7 linked regions of the Nothobranchius furzeri genome follow. The protein of the gene in region 7 interacts with the protein of the main gene of each other region in a biochemical or structural test. Links are inferred from orthologs where the notes say so. Each region holds a gene or a part of one and is shown on either strand. Other genes may lie near its edges. The genes, in order: uba1, prkn, ubiquitin-protein ligase E3A, trim23, nedd4l, E3 ubiquitin-protein ligase RNF14 and ubiquitin-conjugating enzyme E2 E1.

Evidence for each region.
Region 1: of the proteins of ubiquitin-conjugating enzyme E2 E1 (region 7) and uba1, one has a biochemical effect on the other in vitro, tested with the Homo sapiens proteins (9 studies listed by BioGRID, with this or other methods). The link is inferred for Nothobranchius furzeri from reciprocal best matches to the Homo sapiens genes UBE2E1 and UBA1.
Region 2: the proteins of ubiquitin-conjugating enzyme E2 E1 (region 7) and prkn form a complex in vitro, tested with the Homo sapiens proteins (2 studies listed by BioGRID). The link is inferred for Nothobranchius furzeri from reciprocal best matches to the Homo sapiens genes UBE2E1 and PRKN.
Region 3: the proteins of ubiquitin-conjugating enzyme E2 E1 (region 7) and ubiquitin-protein ligase E3A form a complex in vitro, tested with the Homo sapiens proteins (2 studies listed by BioGRID). The link is inferred for Nothobranchius furzeri from reciprocal best matches to the Homo sapiens genes UBE2E1 and UBE3A.
Region 4: the proteins of ubiquitin-conjugating enzyme E2 E1 (region 7) and trim23 form a complex in vitro, tested with the Homo sapiens proteins (4 studies listed by BioGRID, with this or other methods). The link is inferred for Nothobranchius furzeri from reciprocal best matches to the Homo sapiens genes UBE2E1 and TRIM23.
Region 5: the proteins of ubiquitin-conjugating enzyme E2 E1 (region 7) and nedd4l form a complex in vitro, tested with the Homo sapiens proteins (2 studies listed by BioGRID). The link is inferred for Nothobranchius furzeri from reciprocal best matches to the Homo sapiens genes UBE2E1 and NEDD4L.
Region 6: the proteins of ubiquitin-conjugating enzyme E2 E1 (region 7) and E3 ubiquitin-protein ligase RNF14 form a complex in vitro, tested with the Homo sapiens proteins (3 studies listed by BioGRID, with this or other methods). The link is inferred for Nothobranchius furzeri from reciprocal best matches to the Homo sapiens genes UBE2E1 and RNF14.

Annotation. Positions count from the first base shown.
Region 1 is NC_091755.1:24,230,912-24,235,521, forward strand, and holds the start of uba1 (ubiquitin-like modifier-activating enzyme 1), read right to left. Parts: upstream 2,854-4,610; 5' UTR 2,554-2,853; intron 2,516-2,553; exon of another isoform or gene 1-2,515. Other genes in the region: camkvl (caM kinase-like vesicle-associated, like), read right to left, coding at 4,216-4,610. UniProt on the Homo sapiens protein: Catalyzes the first step in ubiquitin conjugation to mark cellular proteins for degradation through the ubiquitin-proteasome system.
Region 2 is NC_091752.1:62,532,670-62,536,595, forward strand, and holds part of prkn (E3 ubiquitin-protein ligase parkin), read left to right. Parts: intron 1-1,318; coding exon 1,319-1,402; intron 1,403-1,476; coding exon 1,477-1,592; intron 1,593-3,511; coding exon 3,512-3,648; intron 3,649-3,725; coding exon 3,726-3,787; intron 3,788-3,926. UniProt on the Homo sapiens protein: Functions within a multiprotein E3 ubiquitin ligase complex, catalyzing the covalent attachment of ubiquitin moieties onto substrate proteins. Substrates include SYT11 and VDAC1.
Region 3 is NC_091743.1:81,623,994-81,627,919, reverse strand, and holds part of ubiquitin-protein ligase E3A, read right to left. Parts: intron 3,794-3,926; coding exon 3,638-3,793; intron 3,559-3,637; coding exon 3,485-3,558; intron 3,405-3,484; coding exon 3,261-3,404; intron 1-3,260. UniProt on the Homo sapiens protein: E3 ubiquitin-protein ligase which accepts ubiquitin from an E2 ubiquitin-conjugating enzyme in the form of a thioester and transfers it to its substrates.
Region 4 is NC_091746.1:63,287,346-63,292,051, forward strand, and holds the start of trim23 (E3 ubiquitin-protein ligase TRIM23), read right to left. Parts: upstream 3,024-4,706; 5' UTR 3,009-3,023; coding exon 2,877-3,008; intron 2,204-2,876; coding exon 2,041-2,203; intron 1-2,040. Other genes in the region: mzt2b (mitotic-spindle organizing protein 2), read left to right, coding at 3,651-3,826, 3,905-4,062.
Region 5 is NC_091746.1:58,494,933-58,499,535, reverse strand, and holds the start of nedd4l (E3 ubiquitin-protein ligase NEDD4-like), read right to left. Parts: upstream 2,948-4,603; 5' UTR 2,825-2,947; coding exon 1,760-2,824; intron 1-1,759. UniProt on the Homo sapiens protein: E3 ubiquitin-protein ligase that mediates the polyubiquitination of lysine and cysteine residues on target proteins and is thereby implicated in the regulation of various signaling pathways including autophagy, innate immunity or DNA repair.
Region 6 is NC_091750.1:54,469,103-54,473,697, forward strand, and holds the start of E3 ubiquitin-protein ligase RNF14, read left to right. Parts: upstream 1-1,578; 5' UTR 1,579-1,711; intron 1,712-2,270; 5' UTR 2,271-2,278; coding exon 2,279-2,429; intron 2,430-2,528; coding exon 2,529-2,659; intron 2,660-2,761; coding exon 2,762-2,948; intron 2,949-3,222; coding exon 3,223-3,581; intron 3,582-3,688; coding exon 3,689-3,917; intron 3,918-4,004; coding exon 4,005-4,177; intron 4,178-4,595. UniProt on the Homo sapiens protein: E3 ubiquitin-protein ligase that plays a key role in the RNF14-RNF25 translation quality control pathway, a pathway that takes place when a ribosome has stalled during translation, and which promotes ubiquitination and degradation of translation factors on stalled ribosomes.
Region 7 is NC_091745.1:63,675,201-63,679,737, reverse strand, and holds the start of ubiquitin-conjugating enzyme E2 E1, read right to left. Parts: upstream 2,872-4,537; coding exon 2,717-2,871; intron 2,183-2,716; coding exon 2,132-2,182; intron 1-2,131. UniProt on the Homo sapiens protein: Accepts ubiquitin from the E1 complex and catalyzes its covalent attachment to other proteins. Catalyzes the covalent attachment of ISG15 to other proteins. Mediates the selective degradation of short-lived and abnormal proteins.

The sequences.
Region 1 (4,610 bases), on a different chromosome or scaffold from region 7:
ATGATGCATGTTGAGAAGGATGGCTGCACTGGTATCAAAACGAAACGTTACTTCACTCCTTTGGGAGCACTTTGGTTTTCAGTACGTCAGCTGCTGCGCAGCCAGAGTCCTTGGCCGAGACAGAGCTGCCTCCAGCGGCAATAAATAAATAAATAAACGCTCGGAGACCTCCTGAAGTCCCGGAAGCACTGCTTCTGCAACCGTCCCGAAGAGAGTTTGAGCCGAGCTGGAGCTCACTCGCTACCTGCAGGAGGAATGCATTCACCCTAAAGAAACCCCCCTGACATGGTGGAGCAACAACCGGGAGAGATTCCCTTTGCTCGCCAGAGTCGCACGCAAGTACGTGTGTGTTAGTGCAACGAGCGCACCATCCGAGAGGGTTTTCAGTGTTGCTGGAAATGTTGCCACCCCTCTCAGATCCTCTCTCAAACCGTATATGGTTAACATGCTGGTTTTCCTTGTGGGTAACAAGGACGTGACCGAGCTATAAATCACCATCATTCGTGTGTGTGAAAGTGAAATGATAGTGTGCCCGCGCCCGGTACATGTAATTTTTTATGCTTGATTTTAAACAACTAAACAAAATGGGGACTTGTTTCTTATTTGTTAGATGCTGCAGCCAAATTTGCATTTAAAAGTTTAACCTTCTCCTGAATTTTGTTGTTTTTAAGTTCAGTCGGACTCCGACTGTCGGAGAAACAAACGTTACTGCGATCTGTGTTGTTACTGCCCTTTGATCTGCATTCGGTAAAGTGTTATTAAAGAAGGCACGGCAATTTTTAACCTTTTTTAAATGTGTAAACATTATGTTTAGATAGTACTGCAATAAAAAAAAGTACTGCAATAAAAAAGGGCTGCAATAATATCGCACACCGCAATATTAAGCAACCCTGAATCACCGCAGGGGGAATTCCTCAACTGCGACAGCCCTAGAGTACACCTCAGTAAGAGCTCTCTCTATATTCCAGTATTCCACGAAGTCCTTTAATTAAGTCTTAACTGATAAGCTGCACATATGTACATTAGTTTAAATGCTAACACAAGAGCTTTTCAGTAGGCTACTATTGTTTTTCTAAAGACAATACAATCCTACTTGATTCATTCTAAATGTAAAGAACACCCAGGTAGAGACAGCTCAGTACACATAAACGAGATATTATTTGTCTAAACATACACATCTGAAATGCTGATTGTGGATCAAGTGAAACTAACGTCAACTTTTCCATAGCTAGGGTAAATGAATGTTAAAAGTTTAACTATTATATGACACATTGACTTGCCACAAAATGCTCTGTTACACTTATTTGATTGGCTCTTTCTACATTCGCCCGCCCCTGCTACTAGAGGATGCATGCGTGCCTTGTATAACACTGTACAATGAACTACAGAAGCTCTAACAATTGTAAAAACTAGTTCATAATTCTAGAAACGAAACACTATAGAATATCTAACGCAGTTGAAGACAAAAGTACAATAAAACATATCCAAGGCAGCGCAAAAGACTGGATCAAAATCCAGCAAAATCTCATCTTTGTTTCTGTGACACTACATTGTAATGTCATCGTACTTAAGAAGCAGGCCTGCACAGAGCTAACACTTTGTATGCCAAAATATTATGAAAATGTAAATAAATCATTTAAAAATACAACTTCTATGAAAACACGTCCGCGTGGACATTTGTGAGCAAGAATAGACCATATATCTTACTGAAGAGTTGAATAATTATTACCAACTCTGACAGTGCTGCAGCCATGAATGAAACGGACACAACATTAGGTGCGCTGGTTGAAAGCTGAAGTGATGCTGAGCGTCAGGGCACTTTGGCTGAGGGTATGGGTGAGCATTCCTTGCAGATGAGTATTGGGGGAGGGGGTGCCCAGCAAATGACAAAGGCCCAGAAAAAGACTGGGCCGCATAATCTCGGGTACACGTGTCGCGGGGATCCCCAATTTCCATGTTCCGGTTACAAAATCATGGGGTAAAACAAAATCCCACCATTCTGATGCACCCAGCACAATTAGGTCAGGATTAACGGCTGCCTAACCTGACACGCTGAATTGACCACTAATGATGATTACCACCGAGATTCGTGCCATCGCAACGTAATCTCAAAAAACCCCATGAAATAACGTGTTCTGAGGACAAGTTAGCCAGAGTATGTCTCTCAAAATAGAATGCATCCAGTGTTGGCAGAAACTATAGCTGTGCGGCTACAATGTGTCACATAATATTGTGTGTCTCGTGCACATGAAACGTGTAACTGCTAATTTTACGTTAACAGTAACGTGACAGTTACTTGATAGCAACGGACAACTGCGCTGGTTGATGAAAAGATTCAATTCGCAAATGGTAATTGACGTTAACATCTATCAATAACACAGATCAAAAGACTGCGTAGTTGTTAGCTTGTGTACAGTTAGCTCTCAGGCTATCCAAGCACCCAACGACTTTTCCCCTTCTTGTGCCGCTATGTTAGCAACCCAGCTAACATTAGCTAACTAGCTGTGGCTAACATGATCGAGGCGAGAGCTTACACAAGTGTGCAGAACTTACCACATCCGATATTACTCGGCCTGATTTGTAATGTTAAAATCTGTCTAAGCGAGAAACCAAACAAACAATATGACAAATCAACACAGCCGCTGACGGCAAACTGAAAAGTATATCAGGCTGGCGGGCTCTGAGTGAGCTTTTTTCCACTGGACGTCTCTCTGCCCGGCTGCTCCGAGACCGCTTCACCTCATTCTATTTCAGTTGAAAGCAAAGCAAAGCAGCAACATGTGCACGTTACAGGCAGATCCAATACTCGTATCCAGAGGGTTCGCCCAAAGAAAGTATATTAGCTCATCCGTCGAATTGTGTTCAATGTTCCATACAAACAAGAGCACAAATATTTCATTTACACAGCTAATATATTTATTCAGGCGTAAAGTGTTTGATTCAAAACTGTTTCGGCATAATCGCCTATTCACAGGAATGGACTAATCGAAACCAGACAGACGCAAAGCTTCATGGGACATGTAGTAAGATTGGTGAAAATGAATGTAGATAAGAAATTCAGATGTTGCCAGTGGTTAGCTGCTAAATAAATAAATAAATAAACAAATAAATAAATAAACTAGCTTAATTTAATTACTTTATTTGAAAGTCTTGCAAACAGAGCACAGTTTACACAGGGGATGATTTCTAGTCCGGAATAGCATGCACATCAGAAAGCGTCGTCGAACAAAGAGGGACTTTTAAAACAAAATTTAAAAGGAGCAAATAAAAATTTCTTTTTAAAATGACATTACCAAAGTGTATACATAGACAAAACTAGAGAAAAGTGAAAACTAAGTTTGCAAGCTTTTTATTTTTTCTAAAACTTTAAAACCAAACACGTGCCTGTGTGATTGCAAAACCTTTATATGCAATCTTGCATCTAAAAATGCTTCACACAGCTTTCTAACAAGATAGGATCTCCCAAAACTCAGTTTCATCAACCTGATGTACATAATGTGGCAACTTTCTATCAGGTAGTGTATCGTTTGATCAGCTGCGTTTTGGGTACTTTGAGACAACTGTGTGACTAAGCCCTACAGGAAAATGACGAGCTACGTAACAAAAGGAAATGAAAAACATGGATATGGGATAAGCTGCTTAAAATGATAATTTCAACAAGAAGAGGTTAACATCTTGGAAACAAGGTAATCATAAGGAAACTAACTTTTTATACGTATTTACAGTTTATAGGATTTGATCAGGTGTTATCGCTTGCAGTTGCTTGTTAATTTGATTCACACTCTTCTTACTTTTGTAGATTGATATAATACAATGTCTTCATGTTTGAATGGGGCTGTGATGATTGTGTGCCTCAGGCTGATACTGAGGCACACAATCTGGATTTAAGAAGTGAAAACATTTGGAGTTCTCGTTTTTTGCCGTTGACAGGCGGGGAGATATTATACCCTAACCTTCATTTGGGAGGCTACCAAAACAGTAATTTGATCTGCATTTACAACCATAATAACATTGTTTAGATACTTTTGGTTATCAAGTACGTTCCATTTCTCAGTGAGAGGGAATCCTTTAACACTCCCAAATAAATAATAAATCCATTTTTAGGTGCTTTGTAATTGTGTATAACATCATGCACATTATCTTTAAAGCCCCCAGTTCATGCCAGCTTTTGGTGATTGGCTTGGATGAGCAGCAGCTCTCTGTCCATCCTTGCCCTCACCCCAGTCTGCCCCTGACAGACTGGGGTGAGGCCTGTGTGGGTGGAGATGGTGGTGGATAAGACGGAGGAGGGATGGCAAGGTGAGGGAGAGATGGGAGCGCAGGTCTTGGAGAAGTGGGAAGCGGTGGAGGGGTGGTCGAGGCTGAGGAATGTTGAGTTGGACGTGCACGGACGGTGGCAGGAGAGGCGTGCGTGCTCCTAGAACGTGCTGGTTCAGTAGGACAGTCACTTATTTGCTCGAGCAGTGAAGGCATGTCTCCCTCAATCTTTTCGAGCACTGCAACCATTTGCTTTTCAATTTGCTCAATGACGCTGTCCATTTTCCAGTCGCTTGTTGCACTGCTTCCCCCTCCTGCATGGTGTAGGCCTGTCCTATACATCCCTACCCCTC
Region 2 (3,926 bases), on a different chromosome or scaffold from region 7:
TCGTCATCTTCCATCCACCTTACTGTTCCATTCTTCTGTGCCACCTCCATGGTCCTCAGATCCTTCAGATGATCCCCCCCCCCCCCCCCCCTGGAATTCTCTGCCACAAGTCATCCGGAACTCTGACTCCCTTCCCACCTTCAAATCCAAACTAACAACTCACCTTTTCCAGACTTCATTTTGTTTATGAGATAGCTTGTTATCTGATTTTTGTTTTGTTTTCCTAGGGTTTTTATGAGTGATTTGTTGCTGCTTTTAACTTTTAGCTTGACTTTTATCATTCTCGTACAGTGACCTTGAGTTCCCTGAAAGGCGCTTTAAATAAAATGTATTATTATCATTATTACTATTATTGTCATTAAAACCCTAATGTACTCATCAGCCTTTGAATGAATTGTTTCTTATGCTGCATCGTCTCCACTGTAATCTGGGATGTAATTGTTCAACCTTTATTCTGCCTTTTCCTTTTAGCTCTAAATTATAATTTTATCTGTGTATATTTTAATTTGTGTTCTCCTGTTTATGTCGTCGTGCCATTTCATGCTAATTATAAAGCACATTTAATTGCCCTGTGTTTGAAATGTGCTCTACAAATACAGCTGCCTTGCTTTGCCTTGTCTTGCCTTTACAATAATGAATGATTCAAAAATAACAGTTTGATCTTGAAATGCCTTATTTCAGATCTTAAATACACCAAATGAGTCTACTTGATGATTTAATAATGATTTCGTAATTAGACTCATTTGGTGTATTTAAGATCTGAAATAAAGCATTTCAAGAATAAACATTCATGCTGATTCATTCATTACTGTAAAGCAGTCGAGACATTATTAAATCACTTTAGATAAAACATTCATTGTAGATGAAATGGAATATAATATATAATATAATCAACCCGTAAAGTGAAGTAAATAATTTTATGAGACTGAGTAAGATTCTTTATTAAAGTTATAAAAGAGTCTCGTCTTGTGCCTGCAGATACTGAAACAGGTTGTCATGGCTTCGACCTCTTGGTGGCAAGGTCACAAACAATGTTTTCTGGTTTGGAGACCAAACAGTTAACCTGTGGCACACTGATGTAGCAGGCTGTGGACATTGTCTTAACCTTTGTATTCCAACTTTCTCCAACTCTACAGAGGATTATTACCAGTACTACATGTGTAGCATAGTTAGTATTACCAATACTACATGTGCAGTTTACCAGAGGATTACCAGTACTGCACTTGTAGTACAGATGAGTATTACCAGCACTACATGTGTAGTACAGAGATGTGTTATCAGTGGTGGTGGTGTTACTCTCCTGTCCTCTTTTTTTCAGGGTCCATCCTGCTGGGACGATGTCCTTCTTCCAGGAAGAATCCATGGCCTCTGTCAGGCCGACGGTTGTCATGGTAACACAGCGGTAAGGGGTGGAGCTTAATCAATGTTTAATTGAGAACTGACTGAACCTTACTCTCACTGGGAAATTGGGTTCAGGAATTCTACATGAAATGTGCGTCTCACCCAACATCAGAGGATGACACGTCTGTGACCCTTGACCTCATTATGATGAATATCAGAAACGTCCCATGCATCGCCTGTACCGACATAACGTAAAACACACACACACACACACACACACACACACACACACACACACACACACACACACACACACACACACACACACACACACACCAAACAAACTTTCCATTCCTGGCACTTTGCTACCAGGACTGTAGTTACTTCTGCTACTCCCCTACAATAACCCCCACCCCCCACCCCAACACACGTTTGAAACATTCAGGCACACACACCCTGCAGGCATGATTCTCGTCCCTGCATGGTTAAAGTTCACGTTAATGCACATGGAAATGAAGATTAACTAGAGGTAGAGGAGCAATGAATGTGTTTGACCTTCTATCATCGGGGCAACATGCCAGTGCCCAGTGTTTGGCAGCATTACGTCACGCTGCGAGAAGGGGGGAGGTTAGGAGCCAAGATGCAGAACCAGGGAGACACGAGGCAGGAGGTGGAATAAACATAAAAAAAAAACCTTTATTAGGAGTGATTGTCCCAAAGTGAATCCAATAGTGCAAGAAGCCGAAACCAAAAATCCAAAAATCTTAGTATGAAAGCCAAGAGACCTAGAGACAAAGTGACCCCTTAAAGAGCAGACCTGGAGATATCCAAAAACCAAGAGATTGCCAAAAATCCTAGAGACCGGGGGGGGGGGGGGGGGGGGGGGGGCAAGACGACGCTGACACAAACAATGGACCGACAAACACAGAAAGACAGGACAGGGTTTTATACTCAGGGGCTGGGTGATTAGGAGGATTGGGTACAGGTGATATTAATAAACAAGAGGAGGAGCAGAATAGGGCAGGTGAGGAAAGCCCCAACTAAGGCCCTGTCCACACGTAGCCGGGGATCTGCCAAAATGTAGATATTTTCCTACGTTTTGGCCTGTCATCCACACGAAAACGGATCTTTTTAAAAACTCCGGCCAAAGTGAAGATCTGCGTTTTCTCCGTTTTGGGTGTCGGCGTGTGAACAGACAAAACCGGAGTTTTAAGGTCCGCAACGTCACTTTCCGCAACAAAAAAATGCTGACATCACGTGTGCGACCTGTGTTTACACTAGCCGACAGCATGGATGCCCTCAGAGCTGCGCTCGCTTTATCAATTGTCCAAGCGCTTTCTGCTTGTTTGTTTTTGCAAGCGGAATTACTGCTCCTTGCGGAAGACCACAGACGAAGGACGAGGTTAAGAACGGGGGAAGTACTGCCACCTACAGGTCTGGCATGTCCCTAACAACGTATTTATCTGGGTACGTGTGGACAGTTTTTTTAAACGAGGTGGTGTGGATGCACGTTTTGGAGGGGTGGATATTCGTTTTCAAAAAAACCCCGGCTACGTGTGGACTAGGTCTTAAACCTGTTAAACAAAGCTACTGAACTAAATAACTTAACACTGTAGAAATAAGACACTGGAGAACTAAAGATAATAAAATTAATGACCTAGGAGTAATAGAACCAAAAACACTGGAAGACAGGGGAGGATGATGCCTAAAGGGAGAAACGAACTAGACAATCTACAATAACAGAAAACTAATGATAAGAAAAGTGACTAAGGGAAACATGAGGGAAACCTGGAGAGAACCTGGAGGGGGCTGGGGACCACAGGGAGGCACCTGAGGGGGGATGCAGACAAGGAGACACACGAGGAACACAAGGAGACACATAAGGGGAACCTAGAGAGGGATGGAGAATGCAAGGAGACACTTGAGGGAGACGCAGAATGCAGACCATGACACATTAATGCGTTAGCGTAGCACCACACAGAGCACATATTAGACTCAACCCATACTTATATTTCATCAGATCTTGCCTTTCTTAATATTATGGTAAACCTATTTGGATTAACATGGAATAAACACCCTGTCATTATAAATGAATGCAGAACGCCTGAGAAAGGGTGCGTCTGAAGCATGTGGGGCTCTAACCACCACCATGTCCCTGGTGTTGTCTCAGGGAGGTGGTCCTGGTCTTCCAGTGTGCAGCGCGCCATGTGATCTGTCTGGACTGTTTCTGCCGCTACTGTCAGACTCGCCTGAATGAGCGACAGTTTGTGTATCACTCTGTGATTGGGTATTCTCTTCCATGTGCAGGTGAGGGAATGGAGACTCGGGTGACGATGTGAACAGGTATGAATGGGACCGTAACGGTATGATCTTTGTGTTTCCAGCTGGCTGTGAGGACTCTCTGGTAAAAGAGTTGCATCATTTCAGGATTCTGGGAGATGAACAGGTGACGTACCGTCACACAGGATGTGGGTGCTTGGTTCAGACACTGTGTAGCATGATGTGTCCATGTAAACTACACACTTAGAAGGAATGGGTTTTATATAGCACTTCTTTCTGAAAGAGCCCCATAGTACTTCACAACA
Region 3 (3,926 bases), on a different chromosome or scaffold from region 7:
AAGGACAGTAGCCTGTAAACAGGAGCAACCCAGAAGTCATTTCTTGTACCCCTAAGAAGCCACAGCATCTTTTTGTTTTACTCAAATTTCAGGAGAAGCAGGCTAGAGGCTAACAATGCGCTAACAATGCTAATGGTGAATTAGAAGCAGTCTGCTCTAAAACTATCTTAAGCTACCTTTTCAATTACCAACAATTCAATATGACAGTGAAGTGTGTGTGTGTGTGTGTGTGTGTGTGTGTGTGTGTGTGTGTGTGTGTGTGTGTGTGTGTGTGTGTGTGTGTGTGTGTGTGTGTGTGTGTGTGTGTGTGAAGTGAATAAAGAGTCCATCGCAGCATTTTACTTCCTTTAATGAGTCGTTCAGAACCATAACACCAAGCAAACAGACCGCAAAGGCAGAAATGCTCCAAAGTTTAAGATCCAGAGTTTAACCACGGGCAGACTGGCTAATGCTAAGCTAGCGTGTAGCACTCTCACGATTAAGTGGGGTTCAGAAAAAACACGACGGTTGTGAATGACTAAACTCTAAAAGAGGAAGAAAAATCCCCACCAACAATTTGTGGATGTCAGCAGTGGTGTGGGGTTTAACCCCCCAATCCAACCCCTTAATGCTGAGTGTCAAGCAGGGAGGCATTGGGTCCCATTTTTTCAAAGTCTTTGGTATGACCCGACCAGGAATCGAACCCCTGATCTCCCAGACTCAGGGCGGACACTCTACCACTAGGCCACTGAGAAAGGTGATCTTTAAAGGTCAGGTGTTCATCAATCACAACACCCAGATTTCGAACTGCCTTTGAAGGAGCCAGAGATAGGAAGTCATTTTGGATTGAGATACTGTGCTGTATTGATGGTTTTGCTGGGATGACAAGTAGTTCAGTTTTAGAGAGGTTGAGTTGGAGATGGTGGGATTTCATCCATTTTGATATGTCAGAGAGACAGTTTGATATTCGTGCAGAGACAGTGTGGTCGTCCAGTGGAAATGACAGATAGAGCTGGGTGTCGTCTGCATAGCAGTGGTAGGAGAAGCCATGTGATCGAATGATCTCACCCAGTGAGGTGGTGTATATGGCAAAGAGAAGAGGAGCTTATAGCTGCCACTTTGTCAGTGAAGAATGAGGCAAAGGTGTCAGCTGATAGATTGTTGGTAGGAGGTGGAGATGGAGGGCTGAGCAGAGATTTGAATGTTGAATTCTGTGAATGTTTCTGAGAGTCAGTAGAGCTGAGAATTTTGTCAGTGTAGAAAGCTTTCTTTGCATCAGTGATGCTGGCAGAGAATTAGGACAGTAATTCCTGAAATTCCAATAGATCACCAGGATCTTTTGTTTTGCGCCATTTCCGTTCCGCAGCTCTAAGATTGGTGCGTAGAGACCGGAGGGTATCATTTAGCCAAGGGTGCGACTGAGAGGATCTAGCAGGTCTAGTGGCTAAAGGGCACAAGTTATTAAGACAAGAGCAGAGTGTGGAGCAGAGTGACTCGGTGGCTTCATTCACTTCATAAGCAGAGAATGTGCTGGGAGATGGAAGAGTGGAGGCAACAAGAGAGGAGAAGTAGTTGGGTGCCAGATTGCGGAGATTGCGGCGGAATGAGACCATTGGGGAGGAAGCAATGGACCTCCCTTGTAGTCGTGCTGAAATGGATGAAGTAATGGTGTCCCTTCTTATTTTTACATGTTATTTTGGTATTTTTACTATATTTTGACATTTTTATTTGATATGTACAAATATAAAGCTCTTTAGAATATTTATTTACATTGTTTACCTTATTTATTGTAGTTTTTGATATTTATTTTGGTCTCACTCCAGAAAAAGACTTTTTAAGCCATATTTGACAGGTGTATTTAGGCTTGTACAGCTTCAGGAATGCCCTTCCCTTGAATATAACAATCATTTGATCCAAGGGAAAGAATATTTTTATGATTATGTGGCACACTTTGACGTCCATACATAACACATCTGCTGATTTTTACAGCTTTTTTTTACATTGCCGCTACGTCTGTCACATTAACTGTGTTTTTACCATTATTTCTACATCCACCATGCCCCAGAAACGGTGAAACACACTTCAAACCCAATGTTTGGAGTGTGTAAGCTACACACACCTTACTCGTGCAGCACCAGCTGTCTGATGCTGCGCGCTGCAGCAGCATCAATTTTTTCGGCTGGATGAGTGAATTTCTTCTTCAGAGAGTCAAACAACTTTAAGTTTTATCCCTCTAATATTCGCCCTCTTCGTGCTGCGCTCGTCTTCTCCCCGACCGGGAACATCTCGGCGGGAGGCGGTTTTCAAACTCTAAAAACTACGAAATTTTCAATATAAACACACCCTAAGTGTTTCTTAGGCTGAAGTTACACATCTCCACTATCTTCTGGCGTAAAGTAGTAACTTCATGAGGGATCATTTTTGTAGCTGTGGCTCGTTAAAGTCAGTAATGACGCTTGTCGCAATATTGCGACTTTGGTGCTTAAAGGGTTAACATCAGATGGGAAAGAGGGAACTAGACAGCACCTATTTAATACATATTACTGAGCTGTACGATACAGGGGAGATGATACGATATATCACAATACATTCAGTCAGACGTTACAAGCTATTTTTTTTTTACTGAATTTATTGTAAGAATGTTCAATAAACAGTCCAAAGTGATACGTAACGTGTTTAACATGAGGTATCTGAACTATGATGGAGGGATTTACATTTCAATGGTGGAAACAAAACCCGTTGCACACTGCTGCCAACTAGCGGGTGGCGACTGAATTGCACAAAATGAAATGAAAATACACAAATGTTTGCATGTAAATTCTTTCAAGAATTAGGTACACGGCTTTTGAATATCGATGTAATAATCGCAGGAAAAAATATCACGATATATTACCATATCGATATTTCCGATACACGGCTTTTGAATATCGATACAATATTGCTGGAAAAAATATCACGATATATTGCCATATCGATATTTTTTTTACATCCCTACAAATGTGTTATTCTATTTTCATATTTTTAGCAGCATACCATTAGAATACCAAAATATTCAATAGCTGCAGCCCTAGTGGTCACCATCAGTGTGTAGTGTAAAACACTTTGGAGACCCCGACAACTGGCTTCATTATTATTATTATCATCATTAATATTTTATCGCTACTAAGGAGAACATCAGTAGTGAATCTACACAAAGTTTTATAAACGAGGCCCCTGGACTTGACCAAAAACTGTCGTACTTTTAAAATGTTCTCATCCAACTTGTGGAGTTTTCAGCTCACCTGTCTGTGTCAGGACCGTTCTTGGCGATGATCATCTTCAGCTTGCCGAGGCCGCCCACAGGCGCTCTGTCGGTGCCGGTGGTGAACTGCAGGAAGAGGCGCTTCTGCTCCTCACTGAATGAGTGCAACGTCTCCCAGAACTCCCTGTGGGGTCAAAGGTTAATCGTCACAAGCCCACTCCCTACATACATGTGCCAGCTGTTCAGGAACATTCCCATTCTTACTTGATGATTCTAGAATCTTTGTTATAACCGCCGTCGTACTCCGTCGTCTCCTCAAGTGCATAAAAGTCCAGGTTCTGGAAGAGAGCCAGATCTGGACTTTAGAGTCCACAAGTCAACAAGGACAAGTGGTGACCTGAGAGGTCCGGGTCTCACCCTGCTCCCACAGATCAGCAGCTCGATCTCCTCGGGTCTGAACAGGTACTTGAGCGGCGACTCGTTGGTGACCATGTGGAAGCCTCTCCTGAACGCTTTGAACTGTTTCTCCGCACTTTTGTTTAAAACATACTCTGAATACTGTGCAACAAACTCCTGTGAACACACACACGCGCGCGCACACACACACACACCAAATCAAAGTCTATCTGAATATTAGGGCAACACGAAGGCAAAAAAAAACCTGTTCTGTGATTTATTTCTAACCCTGCGATATTGACGTATCGAG
Region 4 (4,706 bases), on a different chromosome or scaffold from region 7:
TTCTCCCCATACCTACTGACCTGGTATGAGGAGTGCACCCACTTTTCATCACAGAGTTGGCGGAGAAAACCAACTACAGTGAGGGGAGCTGTGCTAACCCTGGCTGTTCCGAGCCGCTTTTGGCTGAGTAGCAATGTTGGGAAAAGGGTTAAACTCCCTTTGTCCTTCACTCTGTGAGCAGGAAGGTGAAACACTCCAGAGCATCCAATGCTTCCTCCCCCAGCCAATCAGTGACTGGCAGTCCTCTGACGTTGCGTTTTTCGTCCCAGTTTGGTACACTTGGAACCACTTTGAAGCAGACAAATAAAGGAGCAGCGACCTGGTACCCGTTACTAGTGAAACTGGGCTGAATCGAGTGGAGCTCTGCTTAGAAGGTACTGAAGGAAAAATCTACAAGTGCAACAGAGAACATTTACACCTTTGTCCAGATTCAATTCAACCACCTTCAGAGTTTTCAAGATTTTCCAGCACCGTACAGTCATGATTTCCACACACATGGAGAGACGCTAAATGGACAAAATTATTGTCTTGCTGAATTTCATTATTGGTCTAAAACTCATGCACGTCAATTGGATATTTTTAGCGATGTCCCAATACGACTTTTTCACTTCCGATACGATATCGATGTTGCAGCCTTCAGTGTTGACCGTTACAGATATCAATCTGATACGATATCAGCACAAATCATACTTTTACCCGTTTCCTAATGTGGAATGTATGAAAGGCTTGATCAACTGATATTACTCAACTGGAGAACAACAGCCAATAACAATAAGTATGAAAAATTTCTTTTGTAACCATTGGTTGCTGTAGCTGCCCCTGGCACCATGAAGAAAAGAACGGAGAGCCTCGACGGGTGCATAAACTTTTATTCGTTTCTCTGGTCCAATGCCTTGGACTTCACTCCATGAGTTGCACTGTGAAAACTGTTTAGAGATATACAAAGCATAAATAAAAGGTGAACACAACTTCGATGTCATAACAGAAATGAATTATATTCTCACATTTACCTTGCTCCACTGGCCAAGGATGCTAAACAAACCAATAAGTCCTTAAAGCTGCTTTATCTGTAGATTTGAGTGGGGATGGACAAGAATAACAAACAATGACTATAGAGTGTCGAAGTAATAACCCAAACAAAAGCGTCAATACAGCAAAACTTACGTGGGGATGCAGTCGGCACTGTGCAGCTGAGGTGAATTTAGACCAAAGACATAATTTCAACACTTCAAAAGTGTTATCTTCTCTACAAACAACTTAACCCAAGCCATTTTCTCTGGAAGGGTGTGGCTTATATAAAATCTGTGAGCCAATTAAGAGTCATTGCCATCAGCTGCTCATCTGGCAGCTACAGTTGCAAAAATGTGAACCTTAACGAACCGCTTTTATAGGAGACTTTTGATGCCATCCGATATAATCCGATACAGTGTTTTTGGGCTGATATGGAATGACCTCCGATATCGGAATGGGACATCCCTATGTTTTACTTTGTGAAGTGCACCAAGACGACTTGTCGTTATTTGACGCTTTATAAATAAACTGAATTGAGTTTCACTTTCCAGTGTCAGCACCAATGCATGACTTTAAATAACGGAGATGTTGATGTAAACAAATACTGCAAGACTACACAAAGTTTTAGGACAAAGTCAAATCAAACCTACTACGAAGGAAGGTCTGGATCTGAAATGTGTTCATGTTTTATTTCCCTACATTAGACTGTTTTCGATTGTGAGCTCTTTTCTCTGCAGCCTAACAGCATATTTGCATCTGCCGTCCAAGAACCAGTAAAGTACACCCTGCATCTTATGATGACTGTGTATTCTCTGTGCTTTGCCACTCCAAGATAATTTCAGTCAGGAATACCACTTGGATGTTATGTTACTTCTGAGATGAATAGTTGTTTGTTTTTAGTGATTGAAGAAATATTTTTGTCATTTTCCCAGGCATCCTCAGAATTTGTTCAGTTCAATAAAATTCTACCAAATGTTGCAAATCTGCATCCTTCTTCGAAGGCCAAATTATGTTATGTCCTTCACTCACCCAGCTCGGTGACCTGTCGGTCAAAGGGGCAGCGGACCGCTCTGCCGTGGAGGGGCAACCGGGTGAGACAGTCGTGGCACACGGTGTGGCCACAGAGCAGAAGACGGGGGACCTTGTCACCTTGGAGGGAGAAGACGTCCTCACACACACCACACTCCAGCACCTGCAAGTGACAGCACAGCTTGAACACTGCCTGTCTATGTGTCTGTCTGTCTGTATCTGCTGCAAGGTGACTTCCACACTCAGGATCACGCACACTTGTAAGGAATTTTAATTTGTAACTTTAGGTTTGACTTGATGCAGAAAAGCAGAGGTACTTGAAAAATAGTGATGAGATAAAAAAATCCCAGGGTGTTGCAGTCACTTTGACATAGTGACTCCCAAGGTAAACATCACGAGACGCTTTGCCCACATTTTATTCTGTAAACTAAAATTAATTCTTCCAACAGCTGCTACTGTACACCCTTATAATGCACTGACTAGCTGATTGCTTGTTTTTGTTTATAAGGCTGCAGCGATCAGAAACTTGTGCTAATGCCAACCGGCGGTTTTCGAGCTGGTGCTAGCTCGCAGCAAACGCTTCTTAATGACAAACGAGTCTTCTGGAATGCATAAACGGCTACAATAACATGATGAAACGCGTTTGCACAGCTATTACACTGTCAAAATCCGTATTTGGCACCCACTGCGACCAACGCCAACGCAGCAGCCTTAGCTTCCAACTAGAAATACATCAAGCAAGTCTGAACCAGCGGACATTTATCACCAAAGCTAACCAAATAATATGTTCACAGCAATAACGACCTAGCTGCGGAAATTTGTGACATGTTTACGACCTTCACGGTGCTTCCACTGGCTCCCCTCCCGTGCCGGAGACAGGTCTCCATCGTCGCTCCTGCGCCCTGCTTGTTTATTCCTGCTGCAGCGGCGGCCATTCTTCGACGACGGCGAGCGAGAGAACTGAGCATGCGTGAGAGGATAATCCCTCAACAACTTCCGCGGTGTCAATTTTGGTATACTTTTTGTAGTAATTTTGTAACCCACGTTCACTAAATAAATCGCATAGTGATAAACAACCGATAAATGACCCGCATTTGTATAGCGCCTTTCAGAGTCAGAGGACTCTGTAATTTCATTCTTTTAATTGTCTTTACTTTTTACCCTTTAAACCATATAAGTCCGTGGTTGAAACGACCACCAAGCAGCTTCAGCTTTTTTTATTTGTTATATAAATCTAATGCTTTGCTTAACTGGCTCAACTTTAATGTTTATTTACTCGTTCAATACATTTATCGAGAACAAACCACAGGCTTCTAACTACATGTCCCATCATGCTGCGTGAACGTTCCGTGATGATGACGCATTTTCTACGCGCCGTGTTTACAGAGAGGAGTTGTGGATATAAGCGGGATTCTACACGCTAAAAGCTGCGGCTTTAACGGTATAAACACATGTTTGATTAAAAACGTATTTTTTGTTGTTTATAACCTGTTTTTATGTTTACTTACCTTTCAGTGAGCGGTTGAATTTCGCCATATGTTTATTCTGCGCGGCTAACGTTTTATGTTCGCGCATAAATGCCATTTTCTCACCACTCAGGTGGACTTGATATGTCTCAGCCAACACAGCAGACGGGGCCATCTGCTCCTGACTTCCCTGCTCTGGTGGTCACAGCAAACGTGCAGAAATATGCCATAAAGAAGAAGAAAATCCTGAGTGCTGAAGAAAGTGAGCTGTTTGAACTGACTCAGGCTGCAGGCATCACTGTGGATCAAGAAGTCTTTAAGTGAGTGAACCGAGACCGGTAGAAATGTGGTTCTTCACGCGGCGAATGAGTAAAGGATTCGTTTCTGCCCTCCTGTAGGATCATAGTGGACCTCCTGAAAATGAACGTGGCTCCCCAAGCGGTCTTCCAGACCCTGAAGGCAATGTGTGCAGGACAGAAAGTAGCCGACAGCTGCATAGAGGCTTCAGTTGTCTCCCACACAACAAACACCACCCCAGCACCCACCGAGGTCAAAGGTCAGTGTGTAAAAACTGGGCTTTAGTTTTGAACTTCAAGTGTTACTCCAGCATGGAGGGATTCTCTTGCTGATGCAGTTAAAAATCGCACTTGTACTGTGCTTTTCTAAGTCAGGGACTCCAAAAGTGCGTTACACTGCAGTCAATAATTCACCCATTCACACTGATGATGACCCACCAGTTACCGGGTGAACTAACCCCTGAGCCACCATCAATTTATATTGGGTGAAATGGTTTTGTGATCAGTAGTTTCTAGTGTACCCATTTCAACTTGATAAAATAGTTACAGTAATAAAATATTTATTTTTGTCACTGCTGATCGGTTCACTTGTCAAAACAGAAGATACGCAATAAATAACTAGTCAGCAACAAGAAGCAGATATGGGCGGCCATGACGGAATGGGGGTAGATCAAAAGGTGAGCCGTTCGATCTCAGCCCACTAAGCCTCAGGTACGGGTCAAATGCAGAGAATGTCCAACAGAAAGATAAAAAAGTATAAATTATTATTATTATTTTCATCATATGAGTCACCCGACCATCACTAATGCCTGCTATGTTAGTCAATGGTACTTAGAAGTGTGTAATTTAGCAAAAGCCAGTTAGGGTTTCTAATCCCATTTATGATTACATTAAAATAACAGAA
Region 5 (4,603 bases), on a different chromosome or scaffold from region 7:
ACATACATACATACATACATGTACATATACATACATATATACATATACATACATATATACGTATACATGTATACATATATACGTATACATACATACACATATACGTATACATACATACACATATACGTATACATACACATATACATATATATATACACATATACATATATATATATATATATATATATATATATATACACATATATATATATACACATATACATATATATACATATATCTTTGGTGTGTTCTTGCTGTGTTGAGTTTCAAATTCCATCTTTCAGTTTTTTTTAAAACACGGAAAAGGTTTATTTACCTGCAACGTTTCTTTTGCAGCTGCAAGCATCATCCGGCTGACGCCGTTGGTGGTGTCGCTTCCTTCGTTTATCCGCGGGCAGCAGAGGACGTGCTGCCTATTTTTAAATTGGCTTTTAAAAACTTTTGCGACCGATGGTAGATATAGAAAAACTTGAACATATCGGTCGGCCTCTACTTTGCAATGAATAAAGGTTTTTAACTTTTTCGTTAACAAAACAATTACGATCCAAGCGAGAAGATGTCCAGTTTGTTATTGAGGTGTCAAACCCTGACCCACCTACTTAATGGTCTCTGTGCTGACACAACTGAATTACAATGGCATTCCACTCAGACAGATCAGAGCCGACAGGGACAATCCCCTCACAACAACAGTGATCTGAACCCCGGCCACATGCCACAGGACAAAAATAAAAGCAAACCCCCAACCCCTCCGTGCGCTCCCTGCCTCCACCTAACGTAACCTTCGTGGTTTTTGTTGTTTCAGTAAGATCAAGGTTTTGTTTGGGACATCAAGGCAGGGCTGTAATGACCATATGGCTTTCTGGCGTAGCTGTCTGCAGCAAGTCTGTCTGGCACACACAGGCAAACAAGTGCACACTATTGTTATCCAATGCCCAGGATTTAAGGGGGGGGCAACTCCAGCTCCGGGCGATTAGATGGGGAAGACCTGTCTTTATAGTCTAAATGAGGATATCCTTGTTGCTCTAGCATCACACATCTCTTTGTGTTTCTTATAACAAAAGCAGTATATGTGAAATGCATACAGTAGCAGTTTGTAAACAAAAAAGAGGCTGCTAAAATGACACAATGAATAAACTTAAAGCTCTAGAACAGTTTTGCCCCACAGATTGAGTTTTACATAACAGGGGGGGCAAAATTAAAAGTGAACTAGCCTGATCTGTGCTTAGGCTGTAATTACATCTTAGTTTTAATCACTTGCACAGCAGCTGCAAAATTTACGCATCCATACCAGGCAAGAACACAAGAACGGCCGTCTGCCTACTCTTAAAATCAACAACCACATTTGAAAGAGACTAAAGATAGAAAGGGCCAACTCTTAAAGACCTCTGACTGCAGTTGGGACGTATTATCAAAACTTGGGTGTCACATTTCTGTGGCACAGAACCCAACAAGTGTCGGGGGACAAATTATCCTTTCATCCACATGCCTTTTCCTGTTATTCTTTCATAAATTACTGGGATGATGTGCATAAGGCGTCAAATACCTGTGGTGAAGAAGTGAAAGAAAACCAATGTGAGTGTGATCTGGCACAGCAACTGTGTCTGTGCTTTCACTTCCCAGAATGTGACCGCACTGTTCTTGTACTCCAGAGATCTCTCTGCATGTATCCACAAAGCAAAATACGCAGCAAAAAACTTTACTATACCATTACTTCTTCGAAAAGGGCCAGAGTCTAACAAAACTTTCTCACAATCATTACCTTTGGGTTGAGTGTTGTTAGGTCACTATCAGAATCTCCACCAGGGGTAAAGTAGATCTTGAAATGTTGCTGCCTTCTGGGGGCTTCCCCAGTGATTTTAAAAGTACAACAATTAGAGGCTTTTTTTGAATCCGGCTCCAGACTGGTTTGATTGTCCTGTACAGTCTGGAAGTCTGTGCCATTTTTCTGCTTACTCTCCAATAACAGCCTCTGATGGGAAGAGCTTCGCTGCAGTCTTATTTTTGGATAATGCATCGTACGGACACCACTTGGGCTGCCACGTCCAGAGTCTGTACATTCCTCCTGGGATAAAGGAGATAGCCGTCTTCTCTGGGTATGGTTCTGGTTCTTTTGAAGCTGAAAAACTAGTCTTTGTGTTGCGTTATCACCAAAGCATGGGTCCAGGTTGTTTTGCTGGACAGACCAGCCATCACCACCATAGGGAAGAATCCTAAAACGCTGGATGTCTGAACTATCAGTAGAATAGCTCCGTAAAGAAACGGCACCAACAGTGATACCTGGTTGACCTCCTCTGAGTGTCTTACGTCTGCTGGAACCAATGCTGAAGACTGTGTGTTTCGGGAGGTTTGGCTCTGTCAGACAACATTGCGAGTTTATGGAATCTGAGCTGTAGTATGGAGGCGGCGACTGCTGTGGAAAGTTCACTATAGGTTCAATATAAGCAGGTGCAGGTCCTGGAGAATAACAAGGTGGTGGGACATCATCGGCATGGCCACCAGGCTCCCGATTACTTGATCCATTTGAGCGCTGGAGGGAAATGTGCATGGACGAGCTTTTGGTGGGACGTGGCTCAGCGTAGGCGGCGAGCTGGGGTATGAACATAGAGGAGCTGCGTTTAAGTGAAAGCTCCGAGCACGAACCAGAAATCATTGGCGGGCCGTGTTGCACAGCCAACTCCTGAGAAGGCCTTAATGGAGGTGGGTGCACGCAAAGCTCTCCAAGCACTTCACCTTCTCCCCGCTGCTCCTCTGAGCCCGTCTCCAGAATCTCCGGGGCTGTGTTGCTGCGGCCAGATCCAAAGTACAAACGCAGACGCTGTGCCATTTTTGCCTCCCGTCCCTTCAGCTCCCGTTCACTCTCACTTTCTCTCAGACTGGCTGCTGTTTCTCTCCTCTCCTCGTGTCGCCCACCTCTCCTTTGGCTGGCTCAATGAGTGATTCCCGTTTTTCTTCCACCACTCACCCCCCTCTCTCCCCCTTCTCTTCCCACCCTCTTCAAGTCTTTTCCACAACTTTTCTTCCCACATCAAACCGTACAGAGAAAGAAGTCACACCACAGAAACCTTACAGTAACTGTAAACCGGCTGACAACTTAACACTACATACTTCAAGAGGAGGTGAAGACAAGACAAAAGAAAAAGTTTATAAAAAATATACTCTTGGTAACACCATGTACTAGCAACAGACAGCAGAAATAGCCTAGTCGAGTGACAGCCAGCATTCCTGACGTGACTGGATAAGAGCCTGCCTGCTCCTGGTTACCGAGGTGACAGTGGGTTGCCTGTCAGTCATGTGACTGAAAATGGCCCCACCACCTCTGGTTACAACCCCACGTTGCCCTCAAGTGTCAACCAAATCCCTCATCCCTGAGTCATCTCTTGCTAACTACGGTCCACCCTTTCCTTCATTCTCATCTCTGACGTCTCTCGTTACTCTGCCTACATGTATCTGAAGATCTTTACTAGATTTGAACATTTTTCTTAAACAATGCTCTCTGATGTCATCACCGGGAGGAAAATAGAGAGAGGGTCAGAAAAGCAAAGAAACATGTCCACAAACAAACACACAATCTATAGCCTCTTCTTTCAATGAGGTACAGAAGATAAAAATGGTTTTCCAACCATTGGACAGACTAAATGGCCTTTAGACAAATACACATCAAAAAGTCAACAAGAAAAAATGGTAAGTTACAGCCTTCCTGCAGCCATGGAACTGAAAAGGATTTGTTTGGGAAGTTATTACTAAAAATGGACGCGACTAAAGGCTCCAGCAGAGCAAAGAGCAGACTATCTGACAGATTGCAGCTTTGATAGGGGCAAACAGCACAGTCGTCTCCAGGGAAAGATGCATCTACTCGACACAGAATAGACACACTGCCTCCAAAATCACTGCCAAACACTTAACTGGATGGCTGTTTTATAGGTCACTCTGTTTCCGTGATAAAATTCAGCTGTGATCCCTGTCGGCAACACCAAATGGATTAAGGACTGAAGTAATACTTAAGAACTTGTATGAAATCATCTGGCAAGAGTAGAAAGTACACTAGAAAGAGACATTTTTCCAAACCAAAATACTTTATGATTACACTGCTTGATCGCAACAGGATTCATCAGCATTTACTTTGCCTGAGGGCAGCAGTAGTGGGAGAGCGAGCAAAGAGCAGCCAAAGCCTGTATCATAATTTGACATTTAAGGGTGAAAAGTGGCGGCCACGTTTTAACTTCTGTGACTGGTTGTGGTACAGCCCACAGTGCTTCATCTTGGCCTTAAAACAAGCCGCAACGATCCACTGAAGGTGTATCATATTGAACAGGGGAACAAATGTAAAGAAGGAAAAAGAATGACAGTCGTACAACAAACTGTGGCTTGGCAGGCTGTTAAATTTGGTGATGAACACTGCCTACAGTGTTAGGCACGGTCAATAAATGTGTGCGTGAAATGTTATGGAGAATGTTCTGTATAACAGAAACAAAGTGCCAATGTGTGGTCTGATGGCAGAAAGCCCAGTCTGCAAAAAGACAGAACATGTCTGACTCAAACAAGATAGTGTTGTATTGTACAACCTATGACTTAAACGTCTTCTGTGCATCATATTTCACAGGCA
Region 6 (4,595 bases), on a different chromosome or scaffold from region 7:
AAATGGAGCTGAATTGTTATAATTAATCAAACATAAAAAAACTACACTTGTTGGAAAAACTAACAACAGTGTGTGAATCTCCAGTACTTACTCAGTGTTTGCAATGATTACTCAGCAGAGTTGATGCTGCTTTAGTTATCAGCCTTGTGATGAATAGCAGTAAAGTTTGCACCACTGCTAAGACATTTCTCCAAACAATTAGCGTAAAGTACAAAACACGGTAGATAACCTGCAAAAGCAAGTCAGTCGCTCAAAATGGGCTCATTCTTCAAAAGCGAGTTCCTTCATCAAAATGGATCATTTGTTCTTCAAAGCAAGTATTTATGTCAATGACAGTGTCGGTGTCGTCACAATGAAAAGTTATGACAGCAGCATCTTTGAACTATCAAGTCAAACGGTTTGAACACGTTTTCATTGTGACATGACTCTGGAAGTGCTCCCCAAAGTCATGTAGAGTCAAATCAGCGTTGTATAGGATGCATGGCATTTAGAAAACTAGAATTAAATCAAAATCAGCACAATGAATATGCACTTTATACTGTACATTTGCTACTGTTCACAGCATTTGGAAAAACAACATTTACAACAAATATAAACTCCCTTTGGCTCAGTAAACCTTACTGCAGTAGTTTTGAATCTAAAAATCCTGTAAAACAGATGGTGCTGCAAATCAGACATGGACAACTAGACGCTCCCGTTAGTCTGGCCACATATTTTCATCTACATCACAGCAAATATCAGCTCTGTCAACGCACAGAGGGAAGTATCTTCCTGAATCCACGCTCTGCATGACTCTGCTGTGATGTCATCACAAGCTGCATCCATGGCTGGTGTCACCTGGGTATGTGGACGCTGATCATACACCTTCCACCTCCAGGAAGAGAAAAACTCCTCAGTTGGATTTAGGAACTGAGAGTAGGGGGAAGATAATAAATATGATAACAATTCTGCTCCATTTTAGACAAGATCACACTGATGTTGGGTTATTGCTGTCAGTGTGTGAGGCTGAGTTTATGAATGCAGCAGATCAAAGACTGAGCTCTGCCTCCACTTACTGAGCAAGCTGAATCATAGCAACACACACACACACACACACACACACACACACACACACACACACACACACACACACACACACACACACACACACACACACACACACACACACACACACACAAATCAGAGGAGTTTAGATGTGTCCTGACCGGGATTTGAACCCCAATCTCAGTCCCAGGGCGGCCACTCTACCACTTATGAAGCCACCAATATTTTTCAACAAATGGGCATCATTTAATTCATTTTCAACAACATTTCAATGAATGAGATTAATTTTAAAAACTACATATTGTCTCTTTAATAGATAATGATAATCAGAACAGTAACTTTATCTAACTGGCTACTCCCACATATGGGCTTTCTTTCTTTTTTTGTGATTTTTGCTACCACACGAACGTTCCCGTCAGAGAGATGTAGAGAGAAGTTTAGTTTTCCCGCTTTCACTGCAATAATTCGCAGTGGCACAATATCTCCACTGGGGGGCGCTGTCAGTGGATTCGCATACCAATATTCACCGGCAGAGAAGGCGGTGTTTGGATGTGTCTCGGATGTAGCCGGATTGAGTGCCGGGCTGTGTGTAAGGAGTTGACGTCGTGACTCGTCATGACAGGAACCAATCAGGGCAAAAGTCACTTGTGCACTTGGGACAGAAAAGGTAATAAAATGAAATAAATTTTCAACATTTGTTGTACATGTCTTGATGTTGTTTGTGTTATTGTATCTTAATCACACAACAGAAAGAAAAGTTAAAAATGTGTTGCTACCACAGAGCTACTGTTTACATCAGCTAGCTGTTAGCTAGCTACAAATACCGGTGTTCTTTACCCTCGTTAGGCAATCAACCGAGTTTGTTAGCTGCTTCCATCTTTAGACATGTTATGTATTTAATCGATGCTGGTTTATAATCTAGCAACCATGGCGTCTGGCATGGTAAAAGTGGTGGTTTATATTGTGTTGGGTGCTAACTTATAAGCTACAACTTAGCTTAGCATTAGCTAAGTTCCTACAAAGTATAAATATTTGCGCATTTAATTATAAATTAGCTCCATCTGGTTATTTAATTTTGATGTCTTTAGGAAAGTTTTGAAATGTTTAATTCAGTCGACACACAAACGCGTTAGTTTGTGTTTTTCTTCACTAAGTGGTATAGTGTTAGCAGTAGTAGTACTCGTATTTGTTTCTGTTGTAAATTTTAGATGTTGTTGTTGTTCCAGGAATGTAAATGTCTGAGGATAAGGAAGCTCAGGAGGATGAGCTGCTTGCATTAGCAAGTATCTATGATGAGGAGGAGTTCCGCCGTGCGGAGTCTGCACAAGGAGGAGAGATCCAACTCTGTCTGGAGCTTCCTCCTGGTTTTAAAGTTCTTGTAAAAGGTATCGGTGATCAAGATGTGCAACTGGTGCACAGCTTCCCTACAGGCTGTGCATTTAGATTCACTACTCTGCTTTAGCCTCCCTTTTTCTTTGTTGCAGGCGAGAAGACAACTGAACACAATGTGTGTTTCTTACCTCCTTTGGTGCTCAATTTTGAGCTTCCTTCAGATTACCCTTCCACACGTCCACCATCCTTCACTCTCAGCTCTAAATGGATGACCAAATCCCAGGTAAGAGTCGTACTAACTCATCCAGGCCTTTTGTAAATGCCACATCTAGCATCTTCCTCTGGCATCCTCTTCAATTCTTCCTCTGCTCTTTGATTCTTCCAGCTGAGCTCCCTATGCCGACATCTGGATGAGTTGTGGGAGGAAAACCAGGGATCAGAGATTCTTTTCACATGGATCCAGTTTCTCAAAGAGGAGCCCCTAGAATTTCTGGGCATCCAGTCTCCCGTGGAAGTCATCAGGAACAGCAAGGCTGCTGGCGAACGAAGAAAAACTGACCTTGCAAGCAAAGGTATGATGAGGCATTTTACCAAAGCTTGCTAGTAGAAAATGTGGTTTAACACTGCAATTGCTGTTATTGTTTTTCAAATAAATTCTGTATTTTATTATTGTAAGTACTTCTCATGCCCTCTTTTGGCTTTCATTCCTGACAAAATTAGGTTGCATCATAATACTTTCCATCAGAACATCTCTTTTCTTACCCAGGTGTCTCTTCACACCACTGTTAACTTTTCAAATCCTTGAATGCACATTGGAACTTCTCTTTTTGGTCTTTTCTCCTTCAGAGAAACCAGAGGAGAAGAAAACAGAAGTAATAAAGGAGACATCTGAGCAGCACGGTTCACTGTTGTCTCATCCAGACCAGCGAGCTGTCGTGTTGATGGACCCTCATTCCGACCCCCTACGTCAGCTCCTGGACTTTGACGAAACTCAGAGACAACGGGTGTTTGACGGAAAGGTGTTCAGCTGCGGGATCTGCTTCGCGGATAAGCTGGGCTCCACCTGCCTCTGCTTTAAGGAGTGCCTGCACGTTTACTGCAAGGACTGCATGAGAGAATACTTTGAGATTCAAATACGAGAAGGCAATGTTCAGTGCCTTAACTGCCCCGAGCCCAAATGCACGTCAGTCGCTACGCCATCACAGGTCAGGCACTTCTACAGGAATGTGGCTTTTAACAAGTTCAGCTTCAGCCCAACCGTATTGATAATTGTGTTGTTTTCTACTTTATCTGCCCTGATCTCATCTCTCAGGTGAAACAGCTGGTAGACGAGGAGCTGTTTGCCCGCTACGACCGTCTGCTGCTCCAGTCCACTTTGGACCTCATGGCTGATGTGGTCTACTGTCCCCGCCGTTCGTGTGGAACTGCTGTAATGGTGGAACCAGACACAACAATGGGCATTTGCTCAGCTTGCCAGTATGCTTTTTGCACGTTGTGTAAGCTGGGCTATCACGGTGTCTCTCACTGCAAAATCACTGCAGGTAACGGCTCAGACAAACTCTCAGAAGCTCATAAGGAGTAAGGAAACGGTTTCACTTGCTACGTTTTCTTTCTGCCTTGTTCTCCAGATGACCTGCGCAGCCTGAGAGATGAGTACCTGTCAGCCACGCCTGAGGGGAAGAAGTTCATGGAGCAGCGTTTTGGGAAACAGGTGGTGCAGAAAGCGGTGGAGGAATCTTTTAGCCGGGATTGGCTGAAGGAGAACTGTAAATGCTGTCCTAACTGTGGAACAAACATTCAGGTAGACCAGCGCCCCCTAATGGAGAAACTAAAGCTCATATTTAGAAACACCAGGGCTCACCCCAAAATCCCTCTACCTCCGCTCCGCTCCGCCCCCGCCTTCCGCAGCCGCTCGCTTCCGAACTCAATTTTTACTGGTACCCGCTCTACTCCGGTGCGGAGACCTGAGGTGCGCAGACAGGCATGCATGGGATTTTCGAGATCTTGCGATACAGTCCGAGCAATAAACGCGGAAATTAGATCCAAACACCCGTTGTGTGGGAGAAGCATCGAAATGAACTGTTTAATCTGCCCATCATTTGTGTTGAGAGATCAGCAGTGTTTGGATCAACAAAGTGTGACTACTTTGATAGTGGAAACTGTATTTATGGCTTATTTTTGTGCATTTAAAGTTCAACCGCCATTGATAGTTGTTAAAA
Region 7 (4,537 bases):
ATCAATAATTTAATCTAATCAAATTAACAAATTAATCATTAGATTAAATCGATGCATCGAAAAAATAATCGCTAGATTAATCGATTACAAAAATAATCGTTTTTCCCAGCCCTACGCATGACATTCTGTCTCAATCTGTCCCCCGATGATATTCTGCATTCCGTATTCTGCGCTTCAGGCTCTCTGTGTGTGTGTGTGTGTGTGGGGGGGGGGGGGGGGTTCTTGTTCTGTGTGAAAATGAAGCGGTACAAGTGATAATGCTGCAGGATTTCATAATTTTAACCCTTCTCAGCAGCAGCACTGCAGGTGCTCTCCATGTCCAAAATGTGCGTAAGCCAGGTCCTTAGTCAACTTAAAGTTGCGCACATTTTCCCGCTACGTTCTCTTTCATAAATCCCAAAGTTTGCATTGAAAGTTGCTTACACAGTTTTCCAACCCAGTTTTGTGCGTAAGCAAGCTTGATAAATGAGGCCCCAGGGCATTTGTGTGTGTGTTTTGGCCATTCTTAAATGCAAAAAACACAATATAAACACCATCTTGGACCGGATAACACGGAACAGTGCTACGCCCTCTATTGTCCTGGTGGGGAATTGCTTTGTAACACTCCCCAGGAGACGGAGAAGTATGGGGGCAAAACGTCTCCATTCGTGCGTCTCTCTCCCTGGTGGAGCTGACGGAGAAGTATAAATTTGGTTTCAGTACCAGGAAGGAAGCTTTTTTTTTTAAATAAGTTCAACTTTCAGTTACAGCTGTAAATACAGATCTTCAGATGAAAACGCATTTGTTTTAATATTTTAGTTCCTCTTGGAAGAACAGCTGCTTATTTAAACTGAATGTTTTGGTATTTGACATTTCCATTCAGGAAAAAGAAACTATTTGTAACTCAAACTGAGACAACACATAATTTTGTTTATTGCAACGAAGCTTCATGGTAATAGATCTGATAACAGTGGGAAGCCTGATTAGTTACCTTTACTGTAGGTGGTGCCATCTAAACCTGCTTTATTCTGCTGTTGGAATTCAGTTCTTCACTGGATTCAACTCTCCCACGGTACTCAGGAAAAAGCAACACAGAAGGCCCATTTCATTTTTTTGGAACATCTGGGTCATTTTGCTGGACCTTCGTTACGTTCACCAGGCCGACTCAATAGGGCCACTTTTGAGAGCTTTTCAGGAACCAACCTAGAACCTGAATTGGAGCAAGTACGAGGAAAAGGCCCGGTAGTGCCGCTGGACGGGACTTGTTGTTACGTTCTGCTGATTGGTTGGAGAAACAGCTGATAGGACAGAGCTATAGAATTTTCCCTCTCCCAGAAGTGTCCCTGAACTCCTGTAGTGAAAACACGGTAATACTGGCCCCTGTGAGGGACAATCAGTAGGACGTGGAATATCCCAACACAGCCTCACCAGCTTGGCCCCGCCTCCTCATTCTAGACACATGTTCTTGTGAAACCAGGAGTCAACCAGTGTTGTTGTGTTAGGCTCAATACCAATACTCACACTTCCACCCTTGTGCCCTTCAATTGCGCATTCCTGTCCAGGGGCACAAGGTGTACCAATCCTCAAGTGCGGAAATTGACCACACCCCTTTTGCACACTTGATGCGGACTTGGGCAAAGGGTATTACCCACAACCCATTGCTGTGAAGGCATTTTGAAAAGACTGAACAATGGCTCAAGTGCCTTATTTGAAAATATGTATTTTCAAACAAAAGAAGTTCATTTTAAGACGACTAATGATATTTATATGAATAAATATCATTACTGAATGTTTAAGATTAAAATTTAATGTGAACAGCAATGAATGTAAATTGTGTCAACTGTTTAAAAATTGTTAATAAAGCTTTTTTAAAAAGTAGCACAAACAGCAACCGGCATCCCTGCATGCACAGTGGTCGATGATGCAACGGCCACTGTCCCAATTCAGCACACAGAGCCTTACTGCACACTTCCTCTAAGCGCACTTCACAGAAGACACAGGGTGCAGTGTGGGTATTGGAACTGTGAACTGACCTATAATAATGATTTTACCTGTTTCAACATTTAGGAAGTTTGGATCAGCCAATATCAGGACAAAACTCTGATCTGTCGTGCTGGTGAGTACATAAAGAACCATAAAACCGTAAACTCACCTGCAGTTTGGCGGAGGGTCCAGGGTAATTTCAGCCAGCTCTTTTTGAATTCTGCAAATGTTACAAAAATCAATTACTGATGGAAGGATCAGAGGTGGAATTACTCAGAATCAAACAAAGTGATTAAAAATAAATATGATCTAGTTAACATGGCATCAGAAAACTAACTTACACACCTTAATGCTGTTTGACTGTTTTTGTAGAAAAGAATGTTGAATGAGACTGAAACTGTGAAGATTTTTTTTTTTTTTTTTTTTACTGAAGAAGAAACTGGTACTTCCTTAAAAACATGGTTTACAACACTACTCTGGCTTATAGAAGCAACCGCCTAAGCACAAATTAAACTAGTTCCTCTTTGACCATCAATGTGTTTTTTTCACTGTTAAATAAATACACAAGGGGAAGTCATGAAAACAAATTCTACTGTCGTTTACTCATGTTTCTGAGCTTATCCTGCCATCAGCAGCTACTAAAAGTTACATATTTATATGTAAACAACATTGTTGTCTTAAGGGGTTTTAAACAGACATGAATCTAATGAGCAACAATAATCTGCCCATTGCTGTATGACAGATTTCTTTTAACCTTTTGGCGCTGGTGGAAAGCAGCTTGGAGGTCTTGCTCATGCTGGTTTTGTTCTCCCGTTTCTTCTTGAAAGCTGTATCCTTGTGTCTGTTTTGGCTGGAGGAAGGTGGTGATGAGGATGAGCTGGTGCTGGCACGGGAATCCTCATCCGACATACCGGTTAGGATTGGAGAAGAGCCGCAACCTGAGGAGAAATGGGAGGAAATCTGAAAAGTGAAAGTAACCCAAAAATGTGGAGCACTTGTGAATAAAGGTAGGTAATAGTATTTTCCTTTTGGGAGGTTTATGTTTCTGAACACATTTTCAAATGTGTAGTGTTGACAAAAACAAAACATCTGGTTTTTATCAGGATTAACAAAACAAGCTGGAATAAAAATGAACAAACCAAGTGCTTAATAATGGGGAAAACAGTCTTATTTTTTAAAAGGTTTTTGTGGAAATTATTTATTTGAAAATGTTAATTTTCTAAACATTTATGCACCACCTTTCCTTGATATAGCCTAGCAGCAATATATATATATATATATATATATATATATATATATATATATATATATATATATATATATATATATATATATATATATATATATATATATAAGTCTGAATAAAATTAGAAAAAATTAAGATATTGAAAACATTTACATCCGAAAGAATAAATTAAATCCAGGATGTGATCATGTGCAAACCATGGTGCAAACACAAAACATTACACATCAGTTAGCTAGCTTGTTTGTTTTGATCTCATGTTGCAGACATGAGATAGGATTCTCGCGAGATTTCACAGCGATTCGCCTTCTGTTTTTTTTTTCGTTAGGTAACGCTTTCCGCTACGGTTAACAGTCTTTAGCCTTAGCTAGCTCGTGGTTAACATTAAATATGGTAATTTTGTATCGTAAGCTATAAATTAAAACGTGTCTGATGGTATATACACGCCATATGTTTCTTCAAATCACCTTTCTTCGTGAGCACTATCAGTAATCCAGCATTAGTCCTCCCCGCTTCATAAAAAACTTAACTGGTAACGAAGACTCGGGCCTCAAGTCTTTGTGGATAAAACAATAATAACGTGAAATTAGACGACGGCTGTGTTGTCAGCTCTCGTTGTGAACCGCTGCCTTTGGCATTAAGACACATATAAATGTAACAATTAAAGGTTTGAAGCAAGAATGAGAAAAAGAGGACCGCTCCAGCACATAGACGCAGCCCTTCCCCCCGTGCTGCTGCTGACTCGACCTCGAGCGTTTTGTTTTTCTTTTTCTCGTTTCTGTCGCCGCGCATCAACATCAGCTGGGAACGCAAACATGTTGGGAATCAGCGCAGATTTTCACAATGCCGAACTAAACGCTTGAACGGAACCATTCATCTCGCTCGTGAAACTTACCCACTCTTTGTGTCTGGACCTCCGCCACCGTCAGGCTGCCTGCTGCCTGTCGTCCTCTGCGGAACGGAAGTAGCCTTCCGCGGCTGCGGGAGGCTGAACAGCTCCGGTCCTGCTGGGGAAACTGGGCCGTCCGCGGCGTGTGTCAAAGCTTCACATCAAGTACATTTAATTTAAACAAGATTAGTCTCCCAGAGGAGCTGTACAGCAGTGCTCCGATGACACCCAGACAGCACAGGTGGCCTAAAAGTCACGCACTGCAGTGCACTTGTTAAAGGTGACAGCAAATAAATCAAAAGATAAAAAAAAGTAGTTCAACTTCTAAAAAATGATTCATATCTGATCTGAAAATCTAAACATTGAAGGATAAAAAGGAAAGTGAAACGTTTTGATGATGATCAGAAATGTGTAACAACTTGAGCCGTCACTAGATCAGCCAC